Linked DNA regions of Caenorhabditis elegans. The protein of the gene in region 1 purifies or fractionates together with the protein of each later gene. This does not show direct contact. Each region holds a gene or a part of one and is shown in the gene's direction. Other genes may lie near its edges. The genes, in order: kri-1, hip-1, ccm-2 and icap-1.

Evidence for each region.
Region 2: the proteins of kri-1 (region 1) and hip-1 purify together in Caenorhabditis elegans (affinity purification with mass spectrometry, with the first as the bait; one study listed by BioGRID). This does not show direct contact.
Region 3: the proteins of kri-1 (region 1) and ccm-2 purify together in Caenorhabditis elegans (affinity purification with mass spectrometry, with the first as the bait; one study listed by BioGRID). This does not show direct contact.
Region 4: the proteins of kri-1 (region 1) and icap-1 purify together in Caenorhabditis elegans (affinity purification with mass spectrometry, with the first as the bait; one study listed by BioGRID). This does not show direct contact.

What each region holds. Positions count from the first base shown.
Region 1 is NC_003279.8:8,236,212-8,244,618, reverse strand, and holds the start of kri-1 (FERM domain-containing protein), read left to right. Parts: upstream 1-3,981; 5' UTR 3,982-3,986; coding exon 3,987-4,042; intron 4,043-4,094; coding exon 4,095-4,176; intron 4,177-4,227; coding exon 4,228-4,367; intron 4,368-4,778; coding exon 4,779-5,156; intron 5,157-5,251; coding exon 5,252-5,417; intron 5,418-5,464; coding exon 5,465-5,598; intron 5,599-5,782; coding exon 5,783-5,912; intron 5,913-6,351; coding exon 6,352-6,558; intron 6,559-6,608; coding exon 6,609-6,759; intron 6,760-6,804; coding exon 6,805-6,962; intron 6,963-7,116; exon of another isoform or gene 7,117-7,314; coding exon of another isoform or gene 7,315-7,422; intron 7,423-7,507; coding exon of another isoform or gene 7,508-7,576; intron 7,577-7,725; coding exon of another isoform or gene 7,726-7,808; intron 7,809-7,967; coding exon of another isoform or gene 7,968-8,071; intron 8,072-8,407. Other genes in the region: col-63 (Nematode cuticle collagen N-terminal domain-containing protein), read left to right, coding at 1-865; nsph-2 (Nematode Specific Peptide family), read right to left, coding at 1,113-1,616, 1,913-2,099, 2,148-2,479; T02E1.8 (uncharacterized protein), read right to left, coding at 7,315-7,422, 7,508-7,576, 7,726-7,808, 7,968-8,071.
Region 2 is NC_003281.10:13,617,112-13,625,070, reverse strand, and holds the start of hip-1 (STI1 domain-containing protein), read left to right. Parts: upstream 1-2,844; 5' UTR 2,845-2,847; coding exon 2,848-2,951; intron 2,952-2,999; coding exon 3,000-3,365; intron 3,366-3,408; coding exon 3,409-3,622; intron 3,623-3,626; exon of another isoform or gene 3,627-3,786; coding exon of another isoform or gene 3,787-3,917; intron 3,918-4,089; coding exon of another isoform or gene 4,090-6,922; intron 6,923-6,971; coding exon of another isoform or gene 6,972-7,094; intron 7,095-7,139; coding exon of another isoform or gene 7,140-7,447; intron 7,448-7,507; coding exon of another isoform or gene 7,508-7,606; intron 7,607-7,649; coding exon of another isoform or gene 7,650-7,707; exon of another isoform or gene 7,708-7,959. Other genes in the region: taf-9 (Transcription initiation factor TFIID subunit 9), read right to left, coding at 305-588, 644-787; mlc-5 (Myosin-2 essential light chain), read right to left, coding at 1,107-1,213, 1,329-1,435, 1,486-1,622, 1,671-1,748; T12D8.9 (Protein PFC0760c-like), read right to left, coding at 3,787-3,917, 4,090-6,922, 6,972-7,094, 7,140-7,447, 7,508-7,606, 7,650-7,707.
Region 3 is NC_003282.8:1,831,337-1,839,518, forward strand, and holds the start of ccm-2 (CCM (Cerebral Cavernous Malformation) gene homolog), read left to right. Parts: upstream 1-3,291; 5' UTR 3,292-3,294; coding exon 3,295-3,327; intron 3,328-3,667; coding exon 3,668-3,754; intron 3,755-3,804; coding exon 3,805-3,906; intron 3,907-4,636; coding exon 4,637-4,786; intron 4,787-4,968; coding exon 4,969-5,047; intron 5,048-6,634; exon of another isoform or gene 6,635-6,689; intron 6,690-8,182. Other genes in the region: cmk-1 (Calcium/calmodulin-dependent protein kinase type 1), read left to right, coding at 579-735, 828-1,093, 1,530-1,633, 1,683-1,852, 2,138-2,263.
Region 4 is NC_003282.8:13,782,865-13,789,773, reverse strand, and holds icap-1 (Integrin Cytoplasmic domain-Associated Protein homolog), read left to right. Parts: upstream 1-2,939; 5' UTR 2,940-2,945; coding exon 2,946-2,990; intron 2,991-3,050; coding exon 3,051-3,176; intron 3,177-3,537; coding exon 3,538-3,659; intron 3,660-3,753; coding exon 3,754-3,859; intron 3,860-3,908; coding exon 3,909-3,983; 3' UTR 3,984-4,031; downstream 4,032-6,909. Other genes in the region: Y45F10D.7 (Small-subunit processome Utp21 domain-containing protein), read right to left, coding at 1-347, 393-556, 604-666; sas-6 (Spindle assembly abnormal protein 6), read left to right, coding at 1,065-1,147, 1,193-1,543, 1,597-2,497, 2,628-2,771; iscu-1 (NIF system FeS cluster assembly NifU N-terminal domain-containing protein), read right to left, coding at 5,163-5,230, 5,285-5,468, 5,532-5,651, 5,710-5,799; lact-9 (Beta-lactamase-related domain-containing protein), read left to right, coding at 4,129-4,278, 4,719-4,931, 4,979-5,089, 6,477-6,775, 6,832-6,909.

The sequences.
Region 1 (8,407 bases):
TTGCAATTGTGGACCACAACCAAAGGATTGTCCAGCTGGACCACCAGGACCACCAGGAAATCCTGGAACCCCAGGAGATGATGGACCAGCTGGAAGAGCTGGAAATCCAGGAAGTGACTCAACTGAAGGGGATCGTATGGCTGACTTCAATAAGGATGTGAAGTGCCCAGCTGGACCACCAGGACCACCAGGACCAAATGGATTCCCAGGACATCCAGGACCAGATGGAGATTTTGGAGTTGATGGAACAAATGGAAAAGATGGAGAACCAGGACCAGATGGACCAGAAGGAGATGAAGGAACTCCAGGACTTCCAGGACCACCAGGAGAGGACGGACCAGTTGGACAGAACGGAACTCGTGGACAAGGACAACCAGGACCAGTTGGTGCACCAGGAGCTCCAGGAGGACCAGGAAGAGATGGAGAACCAGGAGAGAATGGACAAGATGGACAACAAGGACCAGAAGGGCCAGCTGGAGCTGATGGACAACCAGGACATCCAGGACCAGACGGACCATCAGGGGATGTTGGAGAGGTTGGAGCTCCAGGAGCTGATGCTGCCTATTGTCCATGTCCACCAAGATCCGCTGAGATGGCTGCAACTGGATCATCCGACTCCCAACCAGCGTCTTATGAAGCTCCAGCTCCAGCAGCAACAAAGGGATATGATTCTCCAGCTCCAGCAGCACCAAAGGGATATGATGCTCCAGCTCCAACTGCTCCACATCCACCACCACCAGCTCCAGTTGCTCCACCAAAGCTTCACGATTATGAATCGCCAGCTCCAGTTGCTGATGCTCATGATGCTGCTCCAGCTGCCCAGCCATATAAGAGAAGAAAGGTGGCCAGAGCTCATATGGTTTAATTTATGGAATTTTTATAAATGTCAAGAATTTATTTTTACATTAATAAATTATTTATTGCAGTTTTCCAAGCATATTAGCACAATTTCTGAAATCTGGATTGGTTGTAGATATTTCTAGTCAAATGCTGCAGAATGTGGCTACTCTAAGAAAGTATCGTCTTTTCTAGCAAAACATTGCAGTAAATTCATATTCAATTTTATTCAAAACGGAAATATCAGAGATTCCAGCTGTAATTCTTCTCTATCCCTAAGCCAAACGTCTCTTGAACAAGACTTTAAGCTTGGCCACAGCCGCACCAGTCATAATCTTCTCTTTTCCACCATAACCAGCAGATGCCTTCTCAATAGTCAAATCCAAATTTCCGAGAACTTCCAGACCCTTATCATCTTTCAAAATACATGGAGCCGAGTTGCCGATGTGTACAGTAGTCCATCCACTAGATTTTCCCTCAGAAAGAGGCATCCATTTGTATTCCAATCCCATACAAGAAGCCTCCGGGACTGTCAGCAACTGCATTGAACCAACTTCTGGACCAGCATTCTCTTGATTATTCTTTCCAAAATGAGCCATGGTCTTTCCGGCAGAACTAGGATATGAACGTCCAAAAACTGGGTCTCCGTGTTTGTACCAAAGCGCCACATATTGCATATGTGGTCCCGTCTCCGTATTGAGAGCACGACCATCAGCTGGAACAGCGTTGGATGGGAAGTTGTCACCGTAGCGAAGATCGTACCAGAGATCATCATAAACCTGAAAAAGAATATGCATTGATAGTCATAGCTAGGTGTCCGCCTACGTACCTACTCTACGTGCCTACTTTACGTGCCTACTATTACGGCTGCCTACTTGCCTGTCTAGAGGTTAAATCAGATTAAATCTCATTTTGGCATTCTTATTTCTGCGACTAATCCACCACGTGCATGCTTCCTTTTACTCATGATTTCTTCATGTATGCCTACGTGCCTACGTCATGCTTACTACGCCGATGCCGGATCATCCGGTTCGGTCTGGTTTTCCACCCTGCACTGGTTAAAGTTTAAGCTCACCTTGAGACCAGTTGGTGGAGGTCTAAGATTACGGAAGATTGTCATGAAATTGGCAGTAGCACCGCCTTCGTATTTCTCGGTGGTCCCAGCGTTGGAGAACAAAGCAACTTCGGTATTCAAATCCAGAAAACCAAGCTTATCAGTTCCATCCTTCAGTTTAGCTAAGACTGGAACCGAGTTTCCACATCTACAATTGTTGAAATAACGAGTTTTCCTAGAAGATTTTGAAGGTTACCTGACAATTTCACGAATACCCTCATTATTCTCATGACGTTGTTTCAACGGGAGCCATTCATACCAATATCCAAGAGAATTGTAGTCTCCCTTGTACTGAAGAATTTGAATCTGTCCACCCAAATCCAGTTTTCCTTTCAACTCCGCTTTGTTGTATGGGAACGAACATTCGACAACCCCGTCATTGTTCCAAGCACGTCCATGAATTGGTTTTCCATGTTTATACCACAATGCCACGTATTGGTTGTTCTGGTTTGGAACACGAACAGGAGCTTCAGGAAATGGTGATCCGATTGGTTGGAATGCCCAAGAGTCTTCTTTTGCAACTGGCATCTTGGATGTTCGGGAATAAATTTTTATGAAGAGTGAACTTTCCAAAAAGTTTATCATCTAATGAAATCTTAGGTTCACGTTTAAAAAAATATCATACAATATTCAATAGTGCTTGTCAAGGATAAATTAATTTTAATAATCAATACATTTTTTGTTGAGAAAATTCGCAGCTTCAAAGTACCAAACACAAGTATTTAAATGATTTTTAGATTTCAAACTGGTTGGGTCAAGCTAGCAACCCGTTAAATTACTTACTGATGACATTTCACTGCAGAATGTTGAGTGACGAATTTACAATTTCAACAGGTTAACTTTTTATCTGAAATATTCTCAACTAATTTTTTGACTGCTTTCAGAGGTCCTAAAATTGTTCCAAAATCCATTGTTGCAGACTTTTGATGATTCAAACGGCGTGAAACATTCATCTTTTGTAGAAGACAAAGTTTTGAAAGTAGTTTTTCAGACCTTCCCCAACATCATGAAATCATTTTCATCTTTAAACTTTAGATTGGCGCCAGTTATTCGGCAGATTTTGGGCAAAGTATCAAAGTTATTTCTCATCAGCACACACTAACAAATTCGGAGAAACCACAAATTTCAACGCGTTATCTTATCGTGAATGTCATCTACTGATTTTATATTTAGGGTGGGTCGGGCGTTGTTAGGATGTTTATACAGTTTTTTGTGGGAAAATAAAAAATAATATGTATTGGAATGGTTACAACAAAATTTGCGTTGTTGAAACTCTGAAAATCAAGATTTCGAGTTTAATAAACTATTACCTGATTATTATAATTTGTAAATACCCTTTTTCTGAAAAAAGATACATTTTTTAGTTTTGAAAAATAACTCGTCACCAAGAGATACGTACTGCATGCTTTTCCACTTCAACCGATCATAAAACATATTGATAAAACAGCCAGATAAGTGTGTCAAGAGCTTAGCTAACATAAATCGCCGCCAAACCAATCAATGCACATTTTGTTACTCGACCGCCTTGTCTCTATGCCTCTTGCTCTCTTTTTCACTCTCTTTTCATCTTTTTTGGGGAGTTTAGGGTGTGGCAACTGATAACTGATTACCTGGACAGTTTTTAGATTCCTCTTGCTTCTTGTCAACTCTTTTATAGCAATATTTTTCCGGAGGTTATTGACTTTTTGTGAAGAATGTTGTAGGCAAAACTGTAGTTTAATCTATGAAATTTGAAATTTGTTTAAAATTTAATTGGTTGTTTATGTGTTTTTCTAACGAGTTTTCTGATTAGTTTGAGTTGATGTTTTTTTAAATTAAATGTTTTAAAATCTTTCCGGTTCTTATGAAATTTCAAATTAGGTTGTTAAAAATTGTATTCTTCATTGGCTTCCCAAATTTTAGTTTACTATGTTAGCCCAAGTTTTTGAATGTAAAGTCTTTTAAAAACTATATGCTTTTCACAATTTTCTCTTTATTTTTTATTTTTTCATTGGTTTCAGTTCAAAACACACACTAAAAATAATTTTCAGAGAAAATGGCGGAAGTATCTGTGGCAATCGTACGTCTTAAAATAAGTGCGTTGTCCGATAAGTAAGTGGGTCGTTGATGTTTCATGAATTGTATGGGAATCTTTAATTTTCAGAGCTATTCCATCAGCTCAGGATTTTGAAATTTGTGTCAAAGAAGAGCCATCTACAGCAAAAAATTTTGGACCAGTAAAACATGTAATTGGAAGAGAAAAACAAACTATGAAATATTTTTTTCTATTTTTGCAGGATTATAATATAAAAAAGAGAGTTACCGTCGGCGGACATACAATTGGAGCCGATGTTTTCAAGCTCCCAAATTTCTCTTTTGAACCATCGAAAGTGAGCACATTAGAAGATATGATTCATGATTATTTTAAGAGAACTGGGTAAGATTTTTAAAAACTATGAAACCAATTAATTTTTATGATTTTTCGTACAATTAATATTCTGTTTTTTAAAGTTCTAAAATTCCAACAAAAAAGAGAACTCGGCAATTGGTGCCAATTTCTTATCCAAATGGCCCAATAAAAAATGTTTGTTTTCAAGTTATTCCCAAGCTTGAACCAAATCTTGCCTTTCCCTTATCCAAATTTTGGTTAAATATTGGAAAAATTTAGATCAAACTGGGAAAAAACCTAAGTGGCTTGAACAATACCCAAGTCTATATTTTTGGGTTCAATTTTTCCAAAATACTGGCACCAAGTCAAAATCACAAAAAAAAAAAGATTTTCGAAATCTACTCAATTCTTCAACTTACCTGACAAATATTTCTGCATAAAAATTTTATAATTTTTCAGAAACATAATTCGCCGATCTGTACGTATTCCATTACACGATGATCTGCATCAACCATCATCTTCAACAAAACCATTTGTTGGACATGTTCCTGGACTTTCACTTGTATGTGTTCCAGTATTTAATAAGGAATCAGTTGAAGTCGCAAATTCTCGTTATGAAAATCTACAAAAAATGGTGAATCTGTGTCACAATCAGCCAGAAATGTTTGATATTCATACAAAAAATATGATTCTGATATTGGAACGATGGTTGATTGACTCACAAACTTTCGATTCTTACTTCTTATCACATTTCTTTATGAAAGAATCTTCGAGAACAAGAATCAAGACATGTGTGCATAATCCAGCTTTTATTGATCTTCAGGAACAATGTATTAGGTAGGTTCTTGTAATTTTTTTTTCAGAGTTTCTACTTTAGTTTAGAATAATCAGGAGAAATTTTGTTCCAAACTCATACACCTAAAATGTTTCAGACACATGTCTCATAGTGTCCGTAGCAATGTATCATCGGCATCCGCTGATTTAGATGATCGTGTCCACGTGGCAAATATTGCCAAAATTGCCATGTTACGGTACAACAAGTTCACGATAAGTGTAATAAATCCTGCATTCAATCCAAATTTCGCTAGTGAAGATTCGGTGGGTTTTTTTTTGGTTGTGTTATTGAAATAATGAAAAATATTCAGTCATGTGTATATTTCTATCCCGGAATTAAACAATGTAGGGCACAAAGAGCTGCATCAAGTACATCACAAGATATGAGAAGTCGACTATATCCGTTGCATAAAGCTGCAGAAGATGGAAATGCTGAGGAGATACGGTGAGGTTTAACGTTATAGATAAAAGATTTACATTATCTGTAAATATTCTTCAAATTTAAAGGAAATAGGCCGGGGTTTTACAATGAAAACTTTTTTTTCAATCCTGAAACCTAAAGGTATTTTTTCGCGCCTCAATGAATTCGAAATAGCCTACGAAACCAAATAATAATTTGAAACTTTTAGGAGGTTCCTGAAAATTGGTATGGACAGTAATCTACGAGACGATGACAGTTGGACCCCATTACATTATGCCTGTTTTCATGGACACTTGGAAGTTGTTCACGAACTATTGAATTCGCCACAAATGACTGCCGTGAGACTTTTTTCTATTCGAAATAGCAGCATATTTCATTTAATAAGATACATATTTGAAGTCAAATCTTGAGTTTCAAAACAAAACCTACCATATTTTTCTATTAGCATCGCAGGTACTCCGTTTTGAAAACTTATATCTAGGTTCCTTCTACAGATATAGAAAGTTATAAATTGCAATACTAAAGAAGAAAAACAAACATTTTGTCAGTTAGCAATTATTCTATAAAACAAAAACAATCGAATTACGAGTTTCCAAAACTTAGCAATGATGTGCAATACTACTTGAGGAATTACGGAATGTCAAACGACAGAATACCTTTGAATTTTAACGCTAGAGACACGTTCAAAATAAAATCTGGAAATTTTGTTCACGTCTGTTGCCAAATGTTTTTGAGGTGACAATTTTAAATGTCTCATTCAAAACTTTTAAACCTCAGATAAATGCTCAAAACAAAGGAGGAGCAACAGCTTTACAGTATGCAGTTATAAATGGAAATGAATACTTGGTTGAAATTCTGACATCTCATGCTTCAATTGATGTTAATATTCAAAATAATGAAGGCTACCGACCTATTGATTATTGTGGAAATCATCCGGCAATTCAAAAGATTCTCGAATTGCAAATCTTCAAATCTAAAATCAATGTGAGATTGTTCTATCTGTAAGCCAAATATTCTACTCAATTTGATTTTAGGTGGATACATCTATTGGATCATTCAGTATAAAATCTCGATCTCCAGAAGAGGCAACGGTAGGAGAAGTATTGGATAGATTGGCAGAAGAAACACAACTGAATAGAGAACAAATGAACTGTTTTGCCCTTTTTGTGTATTCAGAGTCAATGTGTAAGTTTATAATTTCAGTATTTTATGAATTTCTTAATATTTCAGCACTTCAACTTCAACCAGACTCCCTAATAGATGGCAAATTAAAAGTTGATAAGTGGAATACTACAATACGGAAGCTCGTTGGAGATATTCCATTTGAAACACCAAGGCTTAAGCTAAAAAGAAATGCCTATGCTACTGCAAGAATGGAAATTGTTACGGTGAGCATTGAGGCTGTAATTTTTATAAATATCTTCGACATTAAAAAGAGAAATCAGAGAAGTTACTATTCTGACCAACACTACTAATATTAGTTATAGACCACTTCTGAAATTGAAGTTTTACAACCTGAAGACTTCGAATGCCAAAATACAAAATTCATGAAAATTGTTTTATTAAATTACAAAAGTCATTTTGGATTTTAAATATTCAAAATTTATGGGATGAGCAAGATTTGGTGGGGAAAAGTATAGCAAATTGAACCGGTTGAATTGGGATTTTCGAAAAAAAACACCGTAAAATTGGTATTGGATAGGAATTATGTCTAATTAAATCTAAAACAACGGAAATTAGTTAATGAAAAATTGCGTATAAAACTGCAAAAACGACTGGGAAGATTATTCCTCCACGAAGATTCGATGAGTTCACACATTCTCCAATAGGGCATGATGTTGAGCAAACCTGGAAGTTCATAACTTCTAAAATACTGTAAAGTTATTCTAGTCTTATTAATAACTCTATTAGTAAAAGCGAAAAAAAACCAAACCTCAACAAACGATGCAACAGATTCCTTGCGATCATGAGAATCGTCTCTGCTGAGTAAATGTCGGCGGACCTAAATGCATTGATCAATTTTCGAACGAATGATACTCCTGTTTCAAATTTGCTAATAGATTTGAAATCTCGATAGTGGGAGTTTGACACTTTCAAAATAGAAAAATTTAACATTTGGTCGAATTTTGATTTCTCTTTTTAACAACCTACCTTTCGGCTAATTTTCGAGTTGTACAAAGTGCATCCCGTCACATCAGATTCCATTCCACAATGCCGTTTCGTCACAATTTTCTCTGCAAAAACATATAAACAATATGGGACAATATATGGAGGGATAAACAGTATGGTCGGGACCATCCTCTAATTAGCTGTGAGAGAAAATGTAATGTCGGTATTATTATAATTAGGTTTGGTGGCGGGAAAGTGAGACCAGAGGAAAAAAGCGCAATTACCAGAACTTCCTCCTGTTCGGTACCAGTTGACAATACAATGTGTGTGTGTCGCATTTGTGCATGGGCTTGGAGCTAAAAGACCTTGACGGCATGCCTCGATTCTTCTGAAATCTTGGATTTTCAGAAATTCCTGATAGATGTACAATTCAAGAAAAAACTCATAATCTACTGAAAATTTGAAATGCAGCACTAAAAAATCGAAAAAAAAACAACAAAATTAAGCATTTTTTCAAAATAGTGGTTTTCCAAATTTGAATCTTCCTGGTCAAATTAACTCAAAAAATACTGCAATATCAAAGTTAAACCTATCAAACGAGGTATGCTTCGAACAAAACATAGCCATAAAATGAAAAAACACAATTTAAAAGTGGATTTTCTTTTAAAAAAACTTTTTTTGCTTCTCCTTAGCGGAATTTGAGGATTTAAAAAAAAACTATGTT
Region 2 (7,959 bases), on another chromosome or scaffold:
TAAATACATTTTGCTACATTACTTGAATAACCCCATAAGCCTGAAAATGATTCACGTGAGAATTAAATTTGAATAATTCAATGTTTTGAATATTCATTTAAAAATGCGGTGTAAAAAAGGAAAAGTATCATAATTTTTTTAAAAGTTCTATTGTGAGTTTTTATTGTTATTTTGTCATTTTTGAACCATAGGAATGGTTTTTAATAGTTTCCCCACTGGTCGTACTCCACTTTAAAATACCTTCTTTCCGTTTAAAATCAAATTTTTACAGATTTTTCAAGATATATCGAGAAAAAAAACGTACGGCTGATAACTGTCGTCAGCTTTGTACACAAAATTCTGCTGTAATTGACAGAATCGATCGTTGGGCAGCTTCAGGCCATAATTGTGTCGAATTTGCGGTAGGGGCTGCTGATTTTTGTCATTCGCCAATTGCAGAATCTTCTCACGGTCCGGAGCGTTTGTGGTCAGAACGCCGAGCATGTCGGCCGCCGTTTGAACGTCTTCTGCCTCGATTTGCGCTTTTTCAGCATGCCTGGACAGTCCACTTGACATTTGGAGGATTTTTGACGTCACTGCGTATTGAACCTGGAAAAAATCATTATTTTTTGAATTTTTAGAGCTCAATTTTGTATTTTCTCACATCCATAAGCATTGAAACGACGCGTGGATCAAACTCTTGAATTCCACACTCGTGGAGCATGCTTATTACAGCAAGCGCCTCTTTACTGTGTCCATCGGTACCACTTGCCGTCGTTTCTGTGTCTTTTTCTCCTGTATCTGCCATTTTTCTTTCTGAAAATGCAATTATATGGATTTCCCCACAAAAATAACGGAGAGGAAATACAGAAATATCATGTGAGATGTAACACGAAATACAAAAATTATGAAATTAGAATTAAAATTTAGAAAAATTCATCTTAAAACACGGAGGATACAAAGTTGTTCACTGAATCGTTGCAAGTTTTTTTTGGTGAACTGGGAGAGAGCGAATAAGAAATAGAATTAACGGATGCAAAAAAGTCGATAAATAAATAGATTGTGTGGAAAATGCCGAGGAAATTAATGGAAATGATATATTTACATCAGCTGAATTCGATTATTTTTTAGGAGTTCATGACAGCGCGTACGAAATCCGAGATATTGACGTTTCCGTGAGAATCGTTGTGTCCGGAGAGCAATTGATCGACGTCTTCATCGGATAGGCGTTCTCCTTGAAAAAAAATTGATAAAATTGGGGTAAACTTTAAAATTGTATAGACCAGCAGAACATTTTTGAAAAGCTACTTATATATTAATTTTTTGATAATATTCACTCAAAATCCTACCAAGAGTGGTGAGCAAGTGTCGGAGCTCTGCGACATTGATCATTCCGTTTCCCTCCTTGTCGAAATGCGACAACCCCTCGACGAACTCCTCAACGGTGTGCTTTTCACTGAAATTATGTAGAAATTGAAATTTATTAACTGAAAATTCGCCACGAACCGATTCTTGGACACCGACTGGAAAATTGGGACAAAGTCCTCGAATGAAAGCCGAGCTTCCCGATCGAACGAGCCGACACATTTGTGAATTTCGGCTTCTGTTGGGTTCTGGCCGAGCGCGCGGAGCACATCACCGACCTGAAATATGAATTTTGGATTAAAAAAGTAAAATATTGAATTAAAAACCTGCTGAACAGAGATTCGCTCGTCGCCTTTGCTGTCAAAATAGGCGAAAACCTCACGACAATCAGCCAAATCGTCCATTTCTCACAGCTGAAATTGGAAAATTGAGAAGACGGGATGAAAACGAAAATCGATTATCAGTGAGTGAGAAGTTGGCGATAAAAGAGAGAATGAGTCACGGGGACGAAACAATTCGGGAGGAAAATGGGTGGGCGGTAGAAGATTTTCGAAGAGAGCTGAAAACATTTCATGCCTTCCAGAAATTCTCAAGCAAAAATTCAGCCTTTCTCGGCTATTTCCCGAGAAAAACGAGTTTCACAACACATTATTCACCGCACATGAACTGAAATGGCGATCGATTGGCGAGTTTATTTGAATAGTAGACACACACAGCAGAAGAGACGACCAAAACGGGCAGTTTCCCCGCGCGGCGGTGTCCTGACTGTCCGTTCAACCGCGTGAGAGTGTGTGGAGATGGTGGAGACGCGAGGAAGAACAACATCCCGAATTCTTGTTGTTCGGAACTTTTTCTCACCGATTCATCGACAAGATACCAATAGTTTGGAGGTTATCCGGCGGGAAAAAGAGGGTTAACAGAGGGCAATTAGAATTAAAATTCGAATTTTCGAGTTGCGGCATGAGCATAGAGCACAGAGAAGCAAAGAGCGCCCAAGTTGCCACGGAAACCATGCACATTACGTGCTGAATACAATTCCTGCGAAATTTTACAGAAAAATCTATTTTTCTGCAGAATTTCAAGGATAATTATCGATAAGCCAAAAAATTGATATAAAACAAAAAATTTTCGGGCGCCAATTTCAAATGCCATGGCGCAATGCACAACGGGCGCTAGATCCCACGCGCAAATGCACAGAATATGCCTGTTTTGAAATTTATTTTTCTCGAGAATTTCTAGAATTTTCGATAATTCAAAGGAGTTTTTTGGTTTAAAAGGCGTTATTCTAATTTTTTGATCTAAATTATCAGGTATTTATCTATTTTTCACTTTAAATCCCCTCTTTGCGTAGTCGGAACACCTCTGGCGGCATCACGTGCTGTTTGCAATATTGTTTACACTTCCAAACAAATTGAATAAACACTTCAATTCTCTATTTTTTGATTCTTAACCTATTCCTTTAAATGATTTAAAATAAACTCCAAAGCTTTTACCTTCCAGAAAATGGACCACGTCGCATTGCTCAAGCAATTCGTTGGCATGTGCCAAGCGAACCCGGCGGTTTTGCACGCCCCGGAATTTGGATTTTTTAAGGATTACCTTGTTTCGTAAGTTTTCTAGTACAAATTCAGCTCAAACATGTGCCACATTTTCAGCCTTGGAGCCACTCTTCCCCCAAAACCAGCTGACAAGCCAGAAGGAAAGTGCCCGATGTCTGAGGAGCCAAAGAAGGAAACTCCAGCCGCCGAGGCAACTCCAGAGCCAGAAATCCCGAAGCCGGAGGAGATTCCATTCCCGAAAATTGACAACGAGGGAGTCATCGAGCCAGAAGAGGCGGTGGCTTTGCCAATGGGAGACTCTGCCAAAGAAGCCACCGAGGATGAGATCGAAAAGGCCTCCGAGGAGAGAGGAAAAGCCCAAGAGGCGTTTTCCAACGGCGATTTCGACACAGCCCTCACTCACTTCACCGCCGCAATTGAGGCTAATCCAGGATCTGCAATGCTTCACGCCAAGAGAGCCAAGTGAGGATTTTCTTTTCAAAACCTGAATAATCGCATTTTTCAGCGTCCTTCTTAAGCTCAAACGTCCGGTCGCAGCGATTGCTGATTGTGACAAAGCGATCTCTATCAACCCAGACTCGGCACAAGGCTACAAATTCCGCGGTCGTGCCAATCGTCTTCTCGGCAAGTGGGTCGAGGCAAAGACCGACCTCGCCACAGCTTGCAAACTGGATTACGATGAAGCCGCCAACGAGTGGCTCAAGGAGGTCGAGCCGAATGTAAGAATTGCATTTGAAAATTTTATTTCAGAGAAAAAAGAAAGTCTAAACGTCATTATTGTCTGAATAGTTACAAGAATTGACGGGAAAATGACATATGACCGATAAAATGGCTCAGCCGGGTGTTACTAAACTAAAAAAAAAGGCACAGGGAAACAGGGAGATCAGTCGTCTTTCTTCACTTTGCGACACAACCGCTTGCCGTTGGGACCCATTGGTGCCTTCTTCTTTGGTGGAAGACCCATTGCTTCGCGACAAGACAAGTAGTAGATGTGACACTTTTTACCGCTTCCTTCTGAAATTTAAGAGGAGTTTGGAGGTTCATAGTAACGCAAATTCGGAAAAAAAATTGTATTCATTTCAATTTTAAAACTTTTTCGTGAAAAAGCTAGCTAAGAGTTGAAATGTTGATATTTTCTCAAGATTTGCCATCCTTTTTGTAGTATTTAAAAGCTAAAACGGCTTACCTCTCCTGGCCATTGTTCCAGAGTGATCTTGCTTTGCAGCCTTCGGTTCCACTGATGAATAGCACGACTTTCTGTACTTACACCAGCTTTTTTCCGCGGCTGACAAGGAGATATCCTTCACACCTTGCTCGATAGTCTCCTTATCAGTCTGCTCGTGGATCTTCGCATCTTCCTTTTTCTCTTCCTTGTTCTTCTGCTTCTCCTCTTTCTCCTCTTCATCATCATCCTCCTCATCCTCGGGCTCCTGATGCTTCTTCTTCCCGTGTTTGGAATGGTGGTGGTGGTGGCGTTCTGATTCTACAGGCTTCAGCTTCTCCTTGAGATGGCGTTCCTCATTGTCCTTTACATCATCATCCTTGTCAGTGATTCCTGCAGCTTCATAGCAAGACTTTCTGTATTTGCACTTTTGCATTTTTGCATTTTTCGAGCCAAGGGCAATAGTTTCAGTGAGAGTTGGAGCTTCACTCCACTGCTGGATGGTTGGAAGAACCCCGCTGTCGTAACAAGATCTTCGATATTTGCATTCCAAACGGCGATCGGCGGCCTTCAAGTTTATCTTTCTAACTTCATCGTCAACATCATCATCATTATCATCATCATCATCATCCTTCTCCTCAGAATCTGATGCCTCTGTTCTCTTCTGCTCCCTCTCCAAGATCTTTTCTCCAACCGGAATATCGTACTTTTCATAGCACGACGGACGATATTTACAGGAAAGCTTTCTATCGGCCATTGCAGCGTCCTTGTCCTCAATATCTGGAACCCCGTCGCCATCAGAGTCTTTGTGTTTTCCGTAGTTATGGTGGGTCTGAGATGGTGGCGCGGCCCAGAAGTGCACAATGTGCCAGATGGAGAAGTCGTATGGCTCGATGAGTCCTCGGTTGCCAGATTCATAACAAGTCTTGCGATATTTGCAGTGGAGACGGTGGTCTCGTTTTGGGTCGTGCTTGTTGTCAAACTCAGTACCTTCATCGTCGTCATTGTCATTTTCTTCTAAATCAGACTTTGGTTCCGGCTCCTCTTGCTTCTTAATGACCATTTTTACCGGAACAGGAACGGGTACTGGGGTCGGTTGTTCATATTCTTCTGGCTCTGGCTCCGGCTCCTTCACTTTCTTCAAGCTTCTTTTAGTTTTTTTGGCTGGCTCAGGTTCAGACTCTGACTCAGGCTCCTGCTCAGAAACTGACTCCTCGTTTTCTTCATCTTTAGACTCGGGCGCTGGATCAGGAACAGCCACCTTCACTTTTTTCAAGCTTCTTTTCGACTTTTTTACAGGCTCTGGTTCTTCTTCTGGTTCAGGCTCAGGTTCCTTCACCCTTTTTGAGTTTTTCTTGTTACTATTTTTCTCGGGTTCTGGTTCTGATTCTGACTCATCATCATTATCATCAACGTCTTGCTGAGCCACTGCTTCTACGATCTTCTGCTCGATCACGTCTTCCACTGCAGCTTTCATCGCCTTCTTCTTTCCGTGTAGCTTCACAGATTTTGGTGCTGGTGCATCTTTCCGATGTTCCCGGGCATCAGCAATGTCTTGAAGCTCCTTCTGCGTCTTCTCGACCTTGTCGTACTTACTCGCCGAGCCTGATGTCATTCCGTACCGACTCATCATCGCATGACGCTTGTGAAGTCTTCGGTGACGTCTTGTTCTTCGTTTTCTCACCTCCTTCTCTATCATCCGTCTTTTCCTGATGGTTTGCACAATATCAACACTAGCAGATTCGCTAATCTCCTCATAGCAAGATTTGCGATATTTGCACAGTGTCTTAAGATCGCGAACGGTTGATGGAACCACCGAGCTGACCTCCTTCTTAATGACTTTCTCGATGTGTTCGTCATCACTGCTGAGATCCGGAATGATTCCAGTTTTATAGCAAGACTTTCTGTACTTGCACCGTTCCTGAAGTGTCAACTTCCGTGTTTCCACTTTATCCGGCATCTCGAGAATGTCCCGGAATGACTCGAAAGCTAGTTCGCTCTCGATTTCTGGTCTTTCTCCGGTTTCGTAGCAAGATTTTCTATATTTACAGTGGTGTTTTTTCTCCAAGTCATTCATATCCTCGAATGGTTTCTGTTCTTTCTCGTCATCATCATCATCATCATCATCATCATCATTATCAGACCCCTTTGACAGAAATGGGATCGAGAAGCTTGTGAAAGCCGATTCTTCGATTTCTGGAAGCTGTCCAGTCTCGTAGCACGACTTGCGATACTTGCAGTCCAGCTTCTTCTGCAGTTGATTCTCAATTTCTTGGAGTTTCTTTTCCACTATCAAGGATTTCGGGACGGGACGAGCCTTCGCCTCCTCCTCCCTCTCCTTTACCCCGCTGACAGCCTTCTTTGCGATATCCTTCAACGTTCGTTTTTTTCCCTGCGGAACTTGAAGCTTGGCGCTCATGAAACTTCTCTCTCGCTCCTGAAGCTTGTCACTCAACGGTATGTTGTGATCCTTGTAGCATGATGTTCGATATTTGCACACAAACTTGCGATCTGCAAGGGTGACATCATCATCTTCAGAGTCTGGAACACCATCCTGATCTGCGTCTTCAGTTATTGGAAGATGATGCTGTTGGGTTGCTGGAGCTCTCCAAAAATGGAAAATATGATCGAAGGAAATGTCGAATGGCTCTATGAGCCCTCGTTTCCCAGACTCATAGCATGATTTGCGGTATTTGCAGTGGAGGCGATGATCTCGCTTTGGGTCATGTCTATTATCAAATTCATTTCCGTCTTCATCATCATCATCGTCGTCGTTGTCATGCTTCTTCCTTCTCTCGACGGTTCTCATGGACTCCTCGACAATATCCTGAATCTCGTCCTCCAGCTCCTCTTCCACCTAAAATTGAGTTTCTTTGACAAATTCTAGTTTTATGAAGGGAGCAAACCTTTTTCCTATCAACTCGGTGCTTGGTGGCGCTGGCATAAAAGAAGGAAGTTATTTTTGGAACGACGGGTTTCTGGATTAAGATTAGCTCTGTTGAAATTTCAAACGGAATCTCCTGGCTTTTCTGAAATGTTAAAGACTTTTACCATCGAATGTATCTTTCGCCCACCTTATTGCAAAAATACACTTTGTTTTGTGTAGTGGACGCAATTTCTGATGTTGCCCAGCAATCGGCCAGCTCTTGCCATGGTTTTTGGTTATTTCTGCCGAATTCCACTACGAACAATGATCTTTCAGTTCTAAGAATGGCCTTCAGGTTTTCATCATGCTCTTTTGCGGAATCACTGACAAAAACCACCGTAGAAACATTGTTTTTCAAAGAGACACTGTCGATTTCATAGACTTTTGAGTTACTCAGCATGGAATCTTGATAAGCCTCGTTGAAGATAACAATGTTCGAGTTGAAGAAGCTATTGTCTGAATAATATTGAATTTTACGGTTTTTTCTCTGAACTTGCGCTCTATCCATTAACTCACTTTCCACGACATCTTCTGGCACGAAATCAAGCAGAACATTGAATTTCGCTAAGTTGTTCCACGATGGTCCGGTGATCAGAACTGTGGGGCCGGCTGAAACTAGATTTTTGAATTTACTGTCTGGAAAATTTACGAAACTCACCCCATGAGGTGCTCAAAAAGAGCAAAAGTATAAAAATGGGATAATAATAGGTTGGCATCTAGTTGGGATTGCACATTTGTATTGGATTTAGATCAAATAGAAATGAGCCCCGAGCCTGATGGGTAGAGATTTCGGAAGTGGGGAGTAAATAGAGAATTTATCGAATTGAAAAAGTTTGGGGTTAAAAAGATTCGCGCACAATTTTATTTAGGGGTTCGTTTTTCGAGCGAGGATTTCAATTTTGAATGTGCCGAGCACACGGGCGGCTTGGGACCCGACGAGTTGTGATGATGCCGGGAGAAGCTTTTGA
Region 3 (8,182 bases), on another chromosome or scaffold:
TGGGGTAGGGCTACCTAGGATCTGGAGTAGGCCTGCCTAGGATCTGGGTTAGACCTGCCTGAGATCTGGGGTAGGCCTGCCTAGGATCTGGGGTAGGCCTGCCCAGGATCTGGGGTAGGCCTGCCTAGGATCTGGGGTAGGCCTAGGATCTGGGGTAGGCCTAGGATCTGGGGTAGGGCTACCTAGGATCTGGAGTAGGCCTGCCTAGGATCTGGGTTAGGCCTGCCTGAGATCTGGGGTAGGCCTGCCTAGGATCTGGGGTAGGCCTGCCCAGGATCTAGGGTAGGCCTGCCTAGGATCTGGGGTAGGCCTAGGATCTGGGGTAGGCCTGCCTAGGATCTGGGGTAGGGCTGCCTAGGGTAGGCTAGGGTCTGGGGTAGGGCTGTCTAGGGTAGGCTAGAGTCTGGGATAGATAGATGGATAGATAGATAGATAGATAGAGACGAGATAGAGACGAATTTGATCAAGTTAGACAAAAGTTGGGTCTCACCACGAAAACTACTGTACCCCCTTTTTAATTTGAGCAAACCATGTGTGACTATAAACGAATTCAAACTGGAAAAATTTGAAATTTTCAGGCTCCGACACAACAATATTGTTCAACTATTCGATACATACGACGAGAAGCAGTTTGTGTATCTTGTGATGGAGCTGGTCACCGGTGGAGAGCTTTTCGATAGAATTGTTGCAAAAGGGTCCTACACGGAACAGGACGCGTCGAATCTTATTAGACAGGTGAGATTTTCAGTTGAAGAGATCAAAAAGTTGTGAATTAGAAAATTGTAGAAAAATATATGGTGTAAATCTGGCAAAGTTTTTATTTTCAGGTATTGGAAGCAGTCGGGTTTATGCACGACAACGGAGTCGTCCATCGTGACCTGAAACCTGAAAACCTTTTATATTACAACCAAGACGAGGACTCCAAAATAATGATCTCAGATTTTGGACTTTCAAAAACCGAAGATTCAGGAGTAATGGCTACAGCGTGTGGAACACCGGGATACGTGGCACCAGAGGTCCTACAGCAGAAACCGTATGGAAAAGCAGTCGATGTTTGGTCGATTGGAGTTATAGCGTATATTTTGCTTTGCGGGTGAGTTAATTTTGGGGGTATACCTGGGAGATGTCGGCTGCTGGCACATCAAATGATTAGGAAAAACCACTGGCACCCGTTAGGTGTTGGATGCTAATAACCCTGGAGGTGTCGGCTGCTCGACTTAACGAGATATGAAGCAGACGACAACCCGGCAGGTGTCGGCTGCAGACGCTTCTAGAGATCACAAGGCGCCGGACATCATGAGAGCTTATAGCAGCCGACACCTGCCGGGTAAACGTCAAATTCACGGTATTTGCGGAGGTTATAGGGAAATTCAAATTTTTTAAGAGAACATTTCTAATTTCCAACCCAGAAAGTGCGCGCCAATGACAAAATTGCCGAAAATTTGAAGATTTTCCTTAAAATTTTGAAGTTTTTGAATAAATTTTAATAGATTTTCAAATAATGAAGCGAAAACTTTTAATTGTTTCAGATATCCACCATTCTACGACGAGAGCGATGCAAACCTATTCGCACAGATCATCAAAGGAGAATACGAGTTCGACGCGCCCTACTGGGATCAGATTTCCGATTCGGGTAGGTCAAAATTGTCAATTTTCCCGCCAAAAAACCTGAAAATTTGCAGCTAAAGATTTTATCACACACTTAATGTGTTGTGACCCAGAAGCCCGATTCACGTGTCAGGATGCTCTGTCACATCCGTGGATCAGTGGAAATACGGCGTACACACACGATATTCACGGAACTGTCGCCGTACATCTTAAGAAGAGTTTGGCAAAACGGAACTGGAAAAAGGTAATTTTCGATGTTTTATATTTGAAAAATTCGTTAATATTTTCAAAATTTTTAAAATTAATTTTCATTGTTCAATTTCCGAGAAAAATCAATAATTTTTTTTCGTTTTCCAAAAAATCGATATTTCTCATTTTCGTTAACAATTGAGTGGTGTTAGAGTGTCTCATTTAGGTTTGATCTATGTAGATCTACAAAAAATGCGGGAGAAGAGACGCAGAGCTCTCAACTGATTTCGTATGGATGTCCGATACTTGAGGAAAAAATCGATAATTTCAAATTTTGCAGGCTTACAACGCAGCCGCAGCAATCCGCCAGCTTCAAATGCTCCGTCTCTCCTCAAATAGCAATCGCCTACAGAAACAAGCTTCACAGCAGCAACCGGAGCCCCCTACACCCGCTTTTCACGCTTGATGATGTCCTTTTAATACAGTAATACGCTTTTGATCTACCCGACCCCCCAAAGTCTCAGAGTTTCCACAGAATTTGAACTCCCGAGAAATCAATCCGCGAAAAAAAGGGCGGACACACTTTTGCGGACGTGGCTTCGAATTTTCTTAGGCTCCGCCCATTTCTCCGGGTTTTCGTTTCCCCGGAAACTGTTTTCCTTGGCAACACTGGGACTCCCCGTCCACACACCCGCGCCGCGCAAACATGCTCCACTGTGATTTTTTTTTGAAATTGTTTTTTTCGTTCGCAACTCACCCCAACCCTCCCTTTTTACAATTCCTCAGTGTACATTCCTTTTTTCCAATTTTTTCAGCCACAGTACCCCCGCCCTTCCCCCATGTACCTTTAAAATGTAATATTTGTGATTTTGATCTCGTGAAACAAGAAAAACACTATAAAATGAATTGTTTTGTACTTGAGAGTTTGAATTTTCCCGGGAATTGTGGCGTGGTGGGTGCAAACGCGCTCCAGTGTACAGTTTTAAAAATTTAACATTTGTTCAAATTTTCAAAAAAAAAAGTCAGATTATGCACGAGCTCCATTGAAATTTTAAAATGTTTCAAACTAATTGTAAAACATAAAAAATCAGTGATAAAGTTGTTAAATTCAAATATATCGCCGACCACATGTTGCAAGCGTGCTCCAATGAAAAAACGCGTTTTTTCTTGATTTTAGTGAGAAAGCATATACAATTTTAGGAACTTTTCAATTTTTTTTTTCAGTAAAATTGACTGAAAGGGTGTGCCTAACCCAAAATTATCACTAACTGATAAAACTGATAAGGAAATTATCGATTTTCGGCACAAATTTTTGCCGGAAAAGTACGAGCGAAGTTTTTATTTGTTTACCCCCCGTCTAGCCTCCAATGTTTGTTTTATTTTCTACTTTTTTCTCTATTTCTCAGAAATATTTTGCACTATTTTCTTGTCAAAATTAAATTTGAAAAAGTTTTCAAAGTTTTTTTTTATTGAAAAATTTTCAAAAAATTTCAGAAAATGGACGCTTCAACTTCGGAATTTGCCACTGATGTAAGATTTTTTATCGGGTTCTTATAGATTTCTAAAAAAAAAAGTTTTAAATATGTAAGCAAATACATATAAATTCCTTTTAATTGAAATTTTCCTCACAATAATGTTTGGAAAATAATTGGAAAAAAAAAATATTTTCGAAATAAAAAAATGTGTTGCTTCAAATATTTATTACACTAAAATAATGAATTTTAAAAAATTATTGGAAAAAAATTCATAAAAAATCGATTTTTTCAGTTTTATTTTTTTCAATAAAATTTAAAGCTTCCCGTAATTTTTTTAAAACTTTTTCACACAAAAAAATTAAATCCACCGCTTAAACAATATCTCTATTTCTCAGTTTATTGGAATAATTTCAAACGAGAAATTTTCCGGATTGGATGATTTTGGACGAACGGATTTTTTGAGGATTTACGACAAGGCTAAGGTATAATTTTCAATCGACTTTCTAAAATTTCCTATACAAAATAATTTCAGAAGAATAAATCGATAAAATCGATAACCCGCCACGATGTGAATTTTCGCGCCTACATCCTTCAAGTTCTGCATGGCAAAATTGTGGTGGTCGACAGGAAATTGGTTCGTTTTTTTATAGGTTTTCTAGATCACTGAGAGCTTTGATATGAGTATAATCATGATCAGGTTACGGTAATTTGGAAATGTTTTGAGTCCCGCCACGAAAACTTTTGAGGGTACTGTAGCTTTTCGTGGTGGGACCCAATTTTTCTTTGAATTTGGGTGAAGAGAGCATGATCCAACTTAATTTATAGCTTATAACAGCAAAAAGTCAAATTTTGACAATGGAATTAAAATTTTAAAAAAAAATGGAAAAAAATAGGACCTTTTTTTTAAAAAATACATTTTTTTAGTTTTTTTTTTTCATTACTAAGTTACTGTAATTTTGAAATATATTTAGTTTCGCCACGAAACCCCCCGGGGTACTGTACCAATTCGTGGAGGGACCCACGTTTCTTGAAATTCAAGCAGTAAAGCCATATCAGGTTTGAGAAAACAAATGTTTTGTATTCTCGAAAAATTAATAAAACTCAATTTTTTCAGTTATACAATGTCAATAATTACCTTGGTTTTTTGAACATTCAACCTATGGTATTTGCACAGTTAGAAGAAATTTCAATTCAAAAAAAAAGAAAAAAAAAACAAACAAAAGTTCCGAGCCCACCGAACTTTAGAGCTTCATCTCTTTTTTTCCAAAAAATCGGAATTCAAAATTCTCAATTTGTATATTCAATTTTTACCGAATTTTCCGATTTCCCTAGTTAAAAGTACATGAAAATTCAAAAAATTCCAGAAAACCTGCTGCTTCGAGGTCTCAATTCCCCTGATCTTCTCCTGCGGCTCATTGACGGAAGATGGTCTTGTTCTGTTCACTTTCAATATTGCACCATATCAGGGAAATATAAATTATCGCGATTTGATGGTTTTGGCACTTCCTGATGAGGCAAGAAGTTTGTTTTAGATGCAAAAATTTTTCAAGAAGAATTAGTTCAAAGTCTGGTAGCTCCATGTCTGAAGCCCACGAGATGTCGGCTGCTCTGTTGAACTCTGAATTTGCCGGCTGCTTGTTTAGAAAAAAAAAATTTTCACTTTTAAAGTCTTATTCTATACAAATTATATTTCTAGAAAACGGCCGAAAAGCTATCAGAAGAGCTGAATTTTAATTTCGCACGCTTCGCCGAACAACAACTACAGACTGCGTCACGTAAGTTTTTGTTATTCTTTATTCTCTCTTCACTTTGAATTTTAAACTGAAACTTTATACTTTAATACTTTTTGTTTTAATCTGTGTTGGCTCAAATTTGTAGTCAATTTTTTTTAAAGTAAAGAACTACAGAAATATTGGAAATTTGTTACTCACTAAAATGCAATGCACAAAAATATTCAAATTTTGTTGACAAGTTTTGATAGCATTCCCAGTTTTTGAGATAGCAGCCGACATCTTGCGGGAACCGTAAAAACGACGCTATGTTATTTAAAACTGTTAGTATCTTCAAAATTAAATATTATATCAAAAAATGACCAACTAACAAAATAAAACACGCTCAAAATTTCCTACATTTTGTTTCTTAAAGGTTTTTTAATAGTTTTCCTTGTTTTTGAGATAGCGGCCGACATTCTGCGGGCGCCAAATTTGGCCATTCAAAATTTAAAATTATATCATCTTTAAAACTCTTTAAAACTATTGATGCTTTCAGAAAGTGAGCAATTATAATAATAAAGTGTACAAATTTGCCTACGTTTCCAGTTGGCAAATTTTTTCTACCTTTTCTAGTTTATGAGATAGCGGCCGACGTCTCACGGGCGCCGCCGACATTTTCTGCAAATTTAAATTGTAGCGTCCTATTTTCAAACAGAGCAATATTTCCCAAACTACCGGTGATTCCGAAAAGTGATCAACTGACAAATATACATACACAAAATTTCTTAAATTTTACCAGTTCAAAAGTTTTTGAAAGCTAATTAAGTTTCTGAGATACATACGTTCAAAGTTTGGCACTGGGAGCTGCTCTTGGAAAATATCATCTCTTGAAATTGATCTTCCGATTCCCGATTTCACTGATCATCAATTCCTTATCAGTTTACATGTTTCCTTGACCATTCATCTAACATCCCTAATCACTCCACTCCGTACACTATTTTTCCTGCCCAAGCCGAAGAGATTTTCTCGCGCGAAAGTGTGACTGCGGGCGAGAGATTTAGAGAAAAAACGCACACAAACTTCTTTTTCTCACTTTCTGTGTGTCTTTTGCAAATTTTACTCTTTCTCTCTCTCTCATGATTACTCCTTTTTAACTTTTCTGTTTGTGGTTGCGTTTTAGTTGAAAATTTTCAAAAATTTTAAAAATTAAAAAAAAACAGTTAAAAAAAACAAATTTATTGAGCAGATTCAAGCTGTATTTTTCTAAAACCAGTGAAACGTCGGCTGCTTTGTTTCAAAACTTATTAGATATTCTTAATTATAGCTATATTTTGAAGATTAAAATGTAAAGTTAAAATTTATACAAGTTCGAATTTTGATTTTGAAATTTTTTTAGTTTGACAAATTCTAAATTTTCCAAATTTTTCGTTAAAGACCCAATTTTATTTTCATTTATTGTAATGAATATTAATTTTAGCTTTTTAATTGTTAACTATTTTTAAAAATCAAGCAATTAAATGAGCAAGTTGCACCTTCCTTAAAAATTGCAGCCGACACTTCCCGGCTTCGCTCAGCCTAGAATTTTTTTACTCGCCCTGAAACTTGAATCCTGTATATCTCCTTAACTAAAAATGCTATTTTAGATATGCGAACTAACAAAATGTAGGAAGTTTAGTGAAAAATATTTTGTTAGTTTACTACTTTTATATAACTTCAATGGTTTTTGTGATAAATGAGTTTTTGTAAGCTTACTCTAGACCTCTTGCACCATCTGACAGGTGGTTCTTTGAAAACCAGTAAAATGCCGGCTGCTCGCGAAATCAACCAATTTCGAAAAATATTTCGAAATGGAAAATGTATCATATTATAAGCATGAAAACAAACTCTCTTTACGTTAAAAAAAAGGCTTGCAGCCGACATCTTGCGGATTCTAAAAGGGTAGTTCTTATTTTAAAACTGCAGTATCGCCAAATCTAGAAATGCTATTCAAAAATTTTAAAGAACAAATTGTAGGAAATTTTATGCCAAATATTTTTTCAGTTAGCAACTTCTTGCTATCTCTAATAGTTTTGGAGATAATTGAGTTTTTGTTTTTCAAATTAATTAAAATTGTATTCCAAACTTTGAACCTTCATATCTACAAAACTAAATGTGTAATCAAAAATTTATCAACAGACAAAATATAGGAAATTTTTTGCAAAATAATTTGTTAGTTGACAATTTTTCTCTAGCACTCGTAGTTTTTGAGATATTCCCTCTCTAGCTATGCACGTCCCTCCCTCTCCTCCGCCGCTGCCAACAATAACATGTTGTTTTTCATTTTTTATATATTTTCATCAGGCATCAAAAGTAAAAGAAAAATATATTCTGATTCAAAATGTTGTTTTAGTAGGTTGGTTGGGTGGCTGAGATGGCTAGTTTTCCAGTTTTCACCCGTCTAACCGTCTGCGTCTCTCGTGCACACTCTCGTCTCTCGCCCCACCCGTTCTGTTGTTAAGATATTTACGACGACTAGGTTGCAGAGAGAGAGAGGCTGGTTGGTCAACTAGTAATACCTCATTTTTTTGTTTGTCATTTATAGCAAAAGAACATAGTCTGTAGTAGAGGCGAGAGCGCAGACAGTTAGACACTCTGGTTTCTCTGCGTTTCTCTCCTCTTTGCGTCTTTTGTTTTGCACTGTGGCGCTCTTTGAGCACGTTTTTCTCAAAAACTACAAGAGATAGCAAAACAATTTCAACTAGCAAATTAAAAAGCATAAAATGACCTGCATTTTTCTAGTTGACAAAATTTTGATAGCACTTTCAGCGTTGAAGATATAGCAGTTTAAAAATAGGAAATCAAAATTTTGGGTGCCCGTCAAATGTCGGCTGATAGAAAAGTGTTGAACTGATATATTTCAGTGTTAATTTTAAATTTGTTGTACTTTTTAGTTGAAAAACCAATAAAACGTCTTTTTTTCAGGCTATTGCAGCCGACAATTTACGGGGTCAAAAACCATGTATTTATAATTTTGGGCCCCGTCAGATGTTGGCTGCTAGACTTTGCAACAGGTTTTGATATATATTTTAGAGTTTATTTATAAATTGTATGGTTGTTTCATTAATAAATCCCATTTTAAATTTAGTAATTTCATAGCAGCCGACAGTTTACGGGCCAACGCTTTGCTGAAATCACCAATTACTTAAAACTGCGATATCT
Region 4 (6,909 bases), on another chromosome or scaffold:
TTCTCGAGTCGAAACTTCGCTGGAACTCATGAATCACTTTTCCAGTTCGGAAATTGATAATTTTCATTCGACCAGTGCTACTGCCGACCACGATTTTATTCAAATACGTGGATGGGTGACAGATTGCCGTTATTTCAAAATCGTCGGATCCTTCCATCAATAGGCTCATTTGAAGGCCTCCTTCTGATGTATCAATGACGTGGATTCCAGAAGAAATATCAACTGCGATCAGCTGAGTTCCGATTAATGTCATGATTTTGATCTTGGCGCCCAAGTCGATGGAATCTTTGATATCTCTGCAGAATGCTAGAGAAGTAATGTTGGTTCCGTGAGCAGCGAACACGCTCCTGAAATGATATATAATTATTTTTGCATTTTTCTAAACCGCTTACGTGCTAGAAGACGCGACTGCTGACACTTTATCGCTTAAAGGTTCCGACATTCCAATCGCACGAAGCTTTTTTCCATTGTATTGCATGATTACATTATCAATTGGGCACAAAACTGACAATGCCGACTTTTTTGCGACAAATGTTGAACGAATTGACGGGGCGACCTGGAAAAAATAAGTAATTTCACTTCAGATTCGGAAAAAAAGCTTACATCACCGGTTACCACACCCAAGAATCGATAAGGAGCAAAGAGCTCCGACTGGATGCGCTTCATTTGCTGGAAAAGCTGAAAAAGCTGAAAAATGAGATAAATTGTTAAAAAACGGGATAAGTGGCTCACACAAGAAAAAAACGACGTAGGATTGTAGAAATGATTGAAAATGCGGGAAACTCTCTATTTTCCCTTATTAAATCTTCAAAAATGTGAAAATTTGACGGAAAATGGGCTGAAATGGGGAATTTTAGTTTGTGAAAAAAAAAAGAAAATGCGATTTTTTGTTAGGCGTAGTTTACAATGTTTTGTCCGCAATTGCCAAGTCCGCAATCGCACACCGTAGTCCCATAGAGCGCGCCATCTCAAATTTATTGTTTTTGCGCAAATTTTTTATTCTTCATTTTCTGCTGTTTTTTCCTATTTTTAACATAATTTTTTTCAGATTTTCTCCCACAAAAATGACTAGCAAAATTGCATTATTCGATCAAACACTCATCGCCTCACTTCTACAGCCGTTGAGCCTAAATCAACCGGATTTTAAGTAAGAAAAGGGAGCAAACGATTTTCAAAAGTAACAGAATTTCAGGGCATACAAAACAAAAGTTAAGCTGAAAATATCAGAGCAAAGGAACGAAACCAGTGGAGAAAAGGAGCTAAAATTCGAAATCAGCCGCTCCGATGATTTTGAATTTCTATTCTCGGAAACGTTGAACAACGAGAAATATCAGATTTTGGCTCGAGATCACGATTTAACAGTGGATTTCGATGCTTTTCCGAAAGTTATCATTCAACACTTGTTATGTAAAAATATTGTGAAAAATTTGGAAGAAGATGGGGAGGTTGATGCACGGAAAAAAGCAGGTTATCATAGTATTGCTGATCCAGGAAAGCCGACGGAAATCAATATTATTTTGGATGCCGAGAAGAATTTTTGCTCGTAAGGGAAATAGATTACCTAATATTGAAATTTAATTTTTTATTTTCTTCCAGATTTGAGCTATTCTCGAAGACTCCTATTTCGAAAGGAAAAATCTTTTCCATCAAGCTTCACGCAGTCCGCGGAGATCATTTAATTTCACATCTTCTGAAAATTTGTTCCAGTCAAGCAGTGAAACTCTCCACTTTTTATAAATCTGCAGATGAGCTAGCAAGCCTACGGCAGAAATGTGGAGATTTGGAAAAACAAGTTGAAAAACTGTCTGGTGTGAAGGAGGAATTCGAAGAAATGTCAGAAAAGTTTAAAGAGCTGGAAGATGAGGTGGAGCTGGTGAAAGAGGAAAGAGAGAATATTCGATTATTAGTTGAGGATAAAGAAGATGAAGTGGCTGATTTGAAACAAGACACGGAGTCGCTGCAAAAGCAATTGGAAGAAAATCAGGAGGAGCTGGAGATTGTTGGAAATATGTTGAGAGAAGAACAAGGAAAAGTGGATCAGCTTCAGAAACGAAATGTGGCTCATCAGAAAGAAATTGGGAAGCTTCGAGCAGAACTTGGCACGGCTCAACGGAACCTGGAGAAGGCCGATCAGCTGTTGAAGCGAAACTCCCAACAACAGAATCAACAAAGTCTGGATATGAGAAAACTAGGAGAGCTGGAAGCTGATTTGAAGGAAAAAGATTCGATGGTTGAGAGTCTCACTGAAACTATTGGAATCTTGAGGAAGGAGCTGGAGAACGAGAAATTAAAGGCCGCCGAGAATATGGATAGTTTTGAGAAGCTGAGCATGGAGAATGAGAATCTTAAAGAAAAAATTGCCCATTACCGAGCCCAACGGTTTAGTCCAGCTCCTTCTGGGCTTCCCGGGCTTCAGACCGGACTAACAAATAGGCTTACACCATCATTCAAGCCTGTTCTTGGACCCCACACTCCATATGGAGCTAATTTGAACTCGGTTAGTAGAAGTTCTACGAAATGAGCTACATTATCGATTTTTCCGGCAATTTCCAATTTTCACACAATTTTTGAGCATTTTTCCGAACTGTTTCAACTCAAAAAAATATTTTAATTTGTTCAAATTTCAGCGCACCCCATTCCGTGACAATACAACTCTTAATTTCCAAAATTCGACAATTGCAACTCCTCATGCTTTTCGTTTCAACAGTCAACTAATCGCCGACGAGACTACTGGTTCAAGTGTGACGAACACCCCACCCGCTCAACGATAAAATCTTTTTTATTGATTTTTTCTTGTCCTTTACTTGAAAATAAAACTCTGCTTATTTCATTGAGATTTCTAGGCCACCGCCAGCACTTCAAATGGGGAAGGTTTTTATCAGTTGGGAGTCCTCCGCAAACATTATGACGCCAGAAACTCGCTTGAACATTTTTCAAAAAAAAAAATGACAGACCCGAAAATTTCAGCATTATACGTGGCAGTTCAAGAGGTAAGGAATTTTTTAAAGTTTACTAGGTTTTCTTCAGAAAAAAAACATTTAATTTTCCAGATAAATTCTCTAATTCAAAATGGAACGTCTTGCAGTCGATCTCTCGAGGAAAAAATTGTTGAGCACTTGGAAAATAGCCAACTTTTAGGGAAATTACCGAAAAACAACGGGGATTCTCATGAGGAGGTTGGGAATATTACACAAACGCAGAATTTTTGTCGGTCTCGACACGACACAGTTATTTGCAAAGGGTTGTGTGCCTTTAAAGAGTAAATACTGTAACGTGTAATTCTTGTTGTTGTATCGATTTTCTTTTTGTTTTGTTTTTCGATAAAAAAATATATTTTACAAGAAAACAGTTATTAATCGTTGGAAAATCAGTGAAAACTCACAAAGTTTCAAATTACAGTAGTCTTTAAAGGCGCACACCATTTTTTTTATAGTTAACAAAAATTTGTCGCGATGAGACCCAAAACCGTAATTTTGGTGTAAAATCGCAGAAGATCCCGTTTTTTGTTGAAATATAATTAAAACTTTGAATTTTAAGGTTTACATGGAGGTCACCAAGCACGGACTTCGGATTTCTTCGAGAAGAACACGATTAGTGAAACTGAGGATTCCACTGATCGAGCTGATACTTTTGACGACGTATGCCGATGGATTTGGAAGGTGCGATTGGTTAATTATGAATTAGATGAAAATCACCAAGAAAAAATTCCGTTCGCTTCGAGACCTGAGACCGTAATTTTAATAACAATTTCAGAACCAACATAGTCTTCGTCGAAAAAAGCACAACTACACGATACCAACTCCATCTTCTTCAGGCCACTGACGACGCTTCTTCTAATATTTTGTGTAATTTAGTGAAGGTTTTGGGATGTTTCATAGTTTTCGTAATAGTCATTTATTTTATTTCAGAACGCTTTCATCGAAGCCGAGGAAGCCAGTGCTCTCATCGAAGTAATTGAGCCGCCATCTCCGTCGATTGCTTAATTTTTTCTTTTTTTTTGCTTGTTACATAAAATAAAAATTTAATTTTTCAAGTTATTTTTTGCCACCTAGAACCATTTGTTGCTTCATCTTTGGAATATTTGTCACTAGCTCGCAGAGCTTGGAAAAATTAAAAAAAATTTCCAGCATGTCATGGTACACTTCCTGTCCAAAGATGCTTCTTGGTGCCACCGCTGTTGCTGTTCCATTGGGAGCCACAGTTTTCCGGAGGGAAAGCGAAAAATCTGAAAATTTGCTGAAAATCAAAAAAGCCAAGGAGCTAGTGGAGACGACGATGGTTGGTTGGGAACTCGAAATTTTGCGATTTTTGTACCAAAAATACGGTGCCGGGTCTCGACGCGACACTTTGTTTAATGCGAAAGGGTGTGCGCCTTTAAAAGAGTACTGTCACTTTTGAAATTCTCGTTTCCGTGGAATTTTTCTCACGATTTTTTAAAATATAGGTGTTTTTCCTGTTTTTTACTAAATAATTATATTTTTATCGGAAAAACCCCGATTTTTTCTGTAAAAAACAGTAAGAACACTCATATTTTGACAAATCGTGAAAAATCCATTGAAATTCCACAGAAATGAGAATTTGAAATTACAGTATTCTTTAAAGGCGCACACCTTCTCATATTTAACAAAAATTTGTCGTGTCGAGACCAGGTAATTGCGGAAAAATCTCTAAATTCCAAGTCTGTGTAATAACTTTCTCCAATTCGACATTATTTTCAGGCTATTCAAGGTATTCCAGGCCTTTCGATTGCAGTTTCGCTGGATGGAAAAATGGTTTGGAAAAGTGGATTTGGGTATGCAAATCTCGAAAGTTTTGCAAAATGTACAGGAGATTCTGTGATGCGAATTGCGAGCATCAGTAAGCCGATAACTGCCACGTTGGCAGCACAGTGCGTTGAAAATGGAACATTAGATCTTGATGAGGATATTCGGGTTTGCAACTTAAAACGGAAGGGAAAATCTGAAATTAATTTTTTCAGAAATATCTTCCTGAATTCCCGGCGAAAAAGTTCAAAAACGAAGACGTCAAAATCACAATGAGACAGCTTCTGTCGCATTCCGCTGGAATTCGTCATTATGCAACTGAAAAGGTGACAAAAAAGCTCTTTTATATATAGCGATTTCTATAACGAAAACAAATTGTCTATTACACATTCTTCAGGCTTAGGCCTTCTTAGTCTGCTTCTTCTGATAATCCTTCAAAGCGGCTTGAATGGCGTCTTGGGCGAGCACTGAAACATTTTTAGTTGCGAAAAAAATCGAGAAAAATAGGGAAAAAAGCTCACTTGAACAGTGAAGTTTGACTGGTGGAAGACACAATTCTTTGGCAATTTCGTCATTTTTAATTTTCGACGCGTAATCGATAGTTTTTCCGTTAATCCATTCGGTTGCCAGGGAAGATGAGGCAATTGCACTTCCACATCCGAATGTTTTGAATTTGGCTTCGATGATTTTTCCGTTATCGTCGACCTGGAAATGTTTTTAGCTTTAAAATATAATAATTTTTTCCCCGGAAAATGTGAAAAAACTCACTCGAATCTGCAATTTCATGACATCTCCACAAGCTGGAGCGCCGACGATTCCTGTTCCGACGCTTGGATCGTTCTTGTCAAGTGATCCGACATTTCGCGGGTTCTCGTAGTGATCGATAACCTGAAAATAATGTGTAATTTATTGATTTTTTAACGCCTGAAAATGATTTAAAACCTACCTTCTCGTGATACTGAGCAACTGAAGTTGCCGCTGGCAACGCAAACTTGTGCAGGAGTGTTTTCGCGGCTGAACTGATTTGAAGCGACATTTCTGTGATTTGTCTGGAATTAATTTATTATATTTAAAAAATAAAATTAATATAAAAGTAGAAATACGTTAAATCATGGATTTTTAGCAACGAAAGGCAATATTTTTGTGCATAAAAATAGGGAATTCCAGAAAAAAACATTTAGAATTAAAGCAGAGATCACTTTTCTCGGCGATAACAAAAAGAAGAATGGAGAAGTAGTGGGCGCACACAAGACACCATCACATGTTCATGGCCGAGAAGTTTTTCGGCCAAGGCCAAGGTTTTTGATGCTTTAGCTGGCGAGTTTAGCAGAGAACACTGATAAATAAATAAAAATCGATGGAAAACTTAGAAAAAATCAATAGAAACAGTTGTTTGATGAGAAAATTATATTAATTACTAGTTTTTAGATTATTTTCTATACAAAACCCAATAAAAAAATCCTTGAATTCGCGCAAAACATTAAAAATTCATAAAAATAATAATAAAAATTAGAAAAAAAAAACAAAAAACATACTGTAGTAAAGGCGCACAGTATTTTGAACCCTAGCGGGTCTCGAAGCGAATTTGAGCATTTGTGCTTTTTCACCAATGTGCCTTTAGAAAGTACGGTAACTTTCATTGAATTTTAATATTTTGGAATTCATTTCAAATTCCTTAACCACATACTATTAAAAAATAAGTATTTTTTTCAGAAAAAATCCGAAACACACGAAGATCCATCCAACAACAACACAGAAACCCCCGAATTTCTCTCGAACAAGCCATACAATTCCTCGCTCGACGCCCTTGCCATTTTCAAAAATGACGACCTTGTGGAAAAACCTGGCTCCAAATTCTCCTACACCACATACGGATTGACACTTGCCGGTGCTGTTCTTGAAAAATGTTCAGGAAAAACATATAGACAGCTTGCAAATCAATTATTTTCGGATCTAGGAATGAGAAATACACAACTGGATACAAAAGAGAAAATTGTTCCGGGAAGGGCTAGGTAAGGTTTTTAAAATTTTAAATGATTCTTTAAACCAAAATTATTTAAAACTTCAGCTACTACCAGCGAAATTCGAAAAACATTCTGGAAAACTGTCCGGAAGTTGACTGCTCCAACAAATTCGCCGGCGGTGG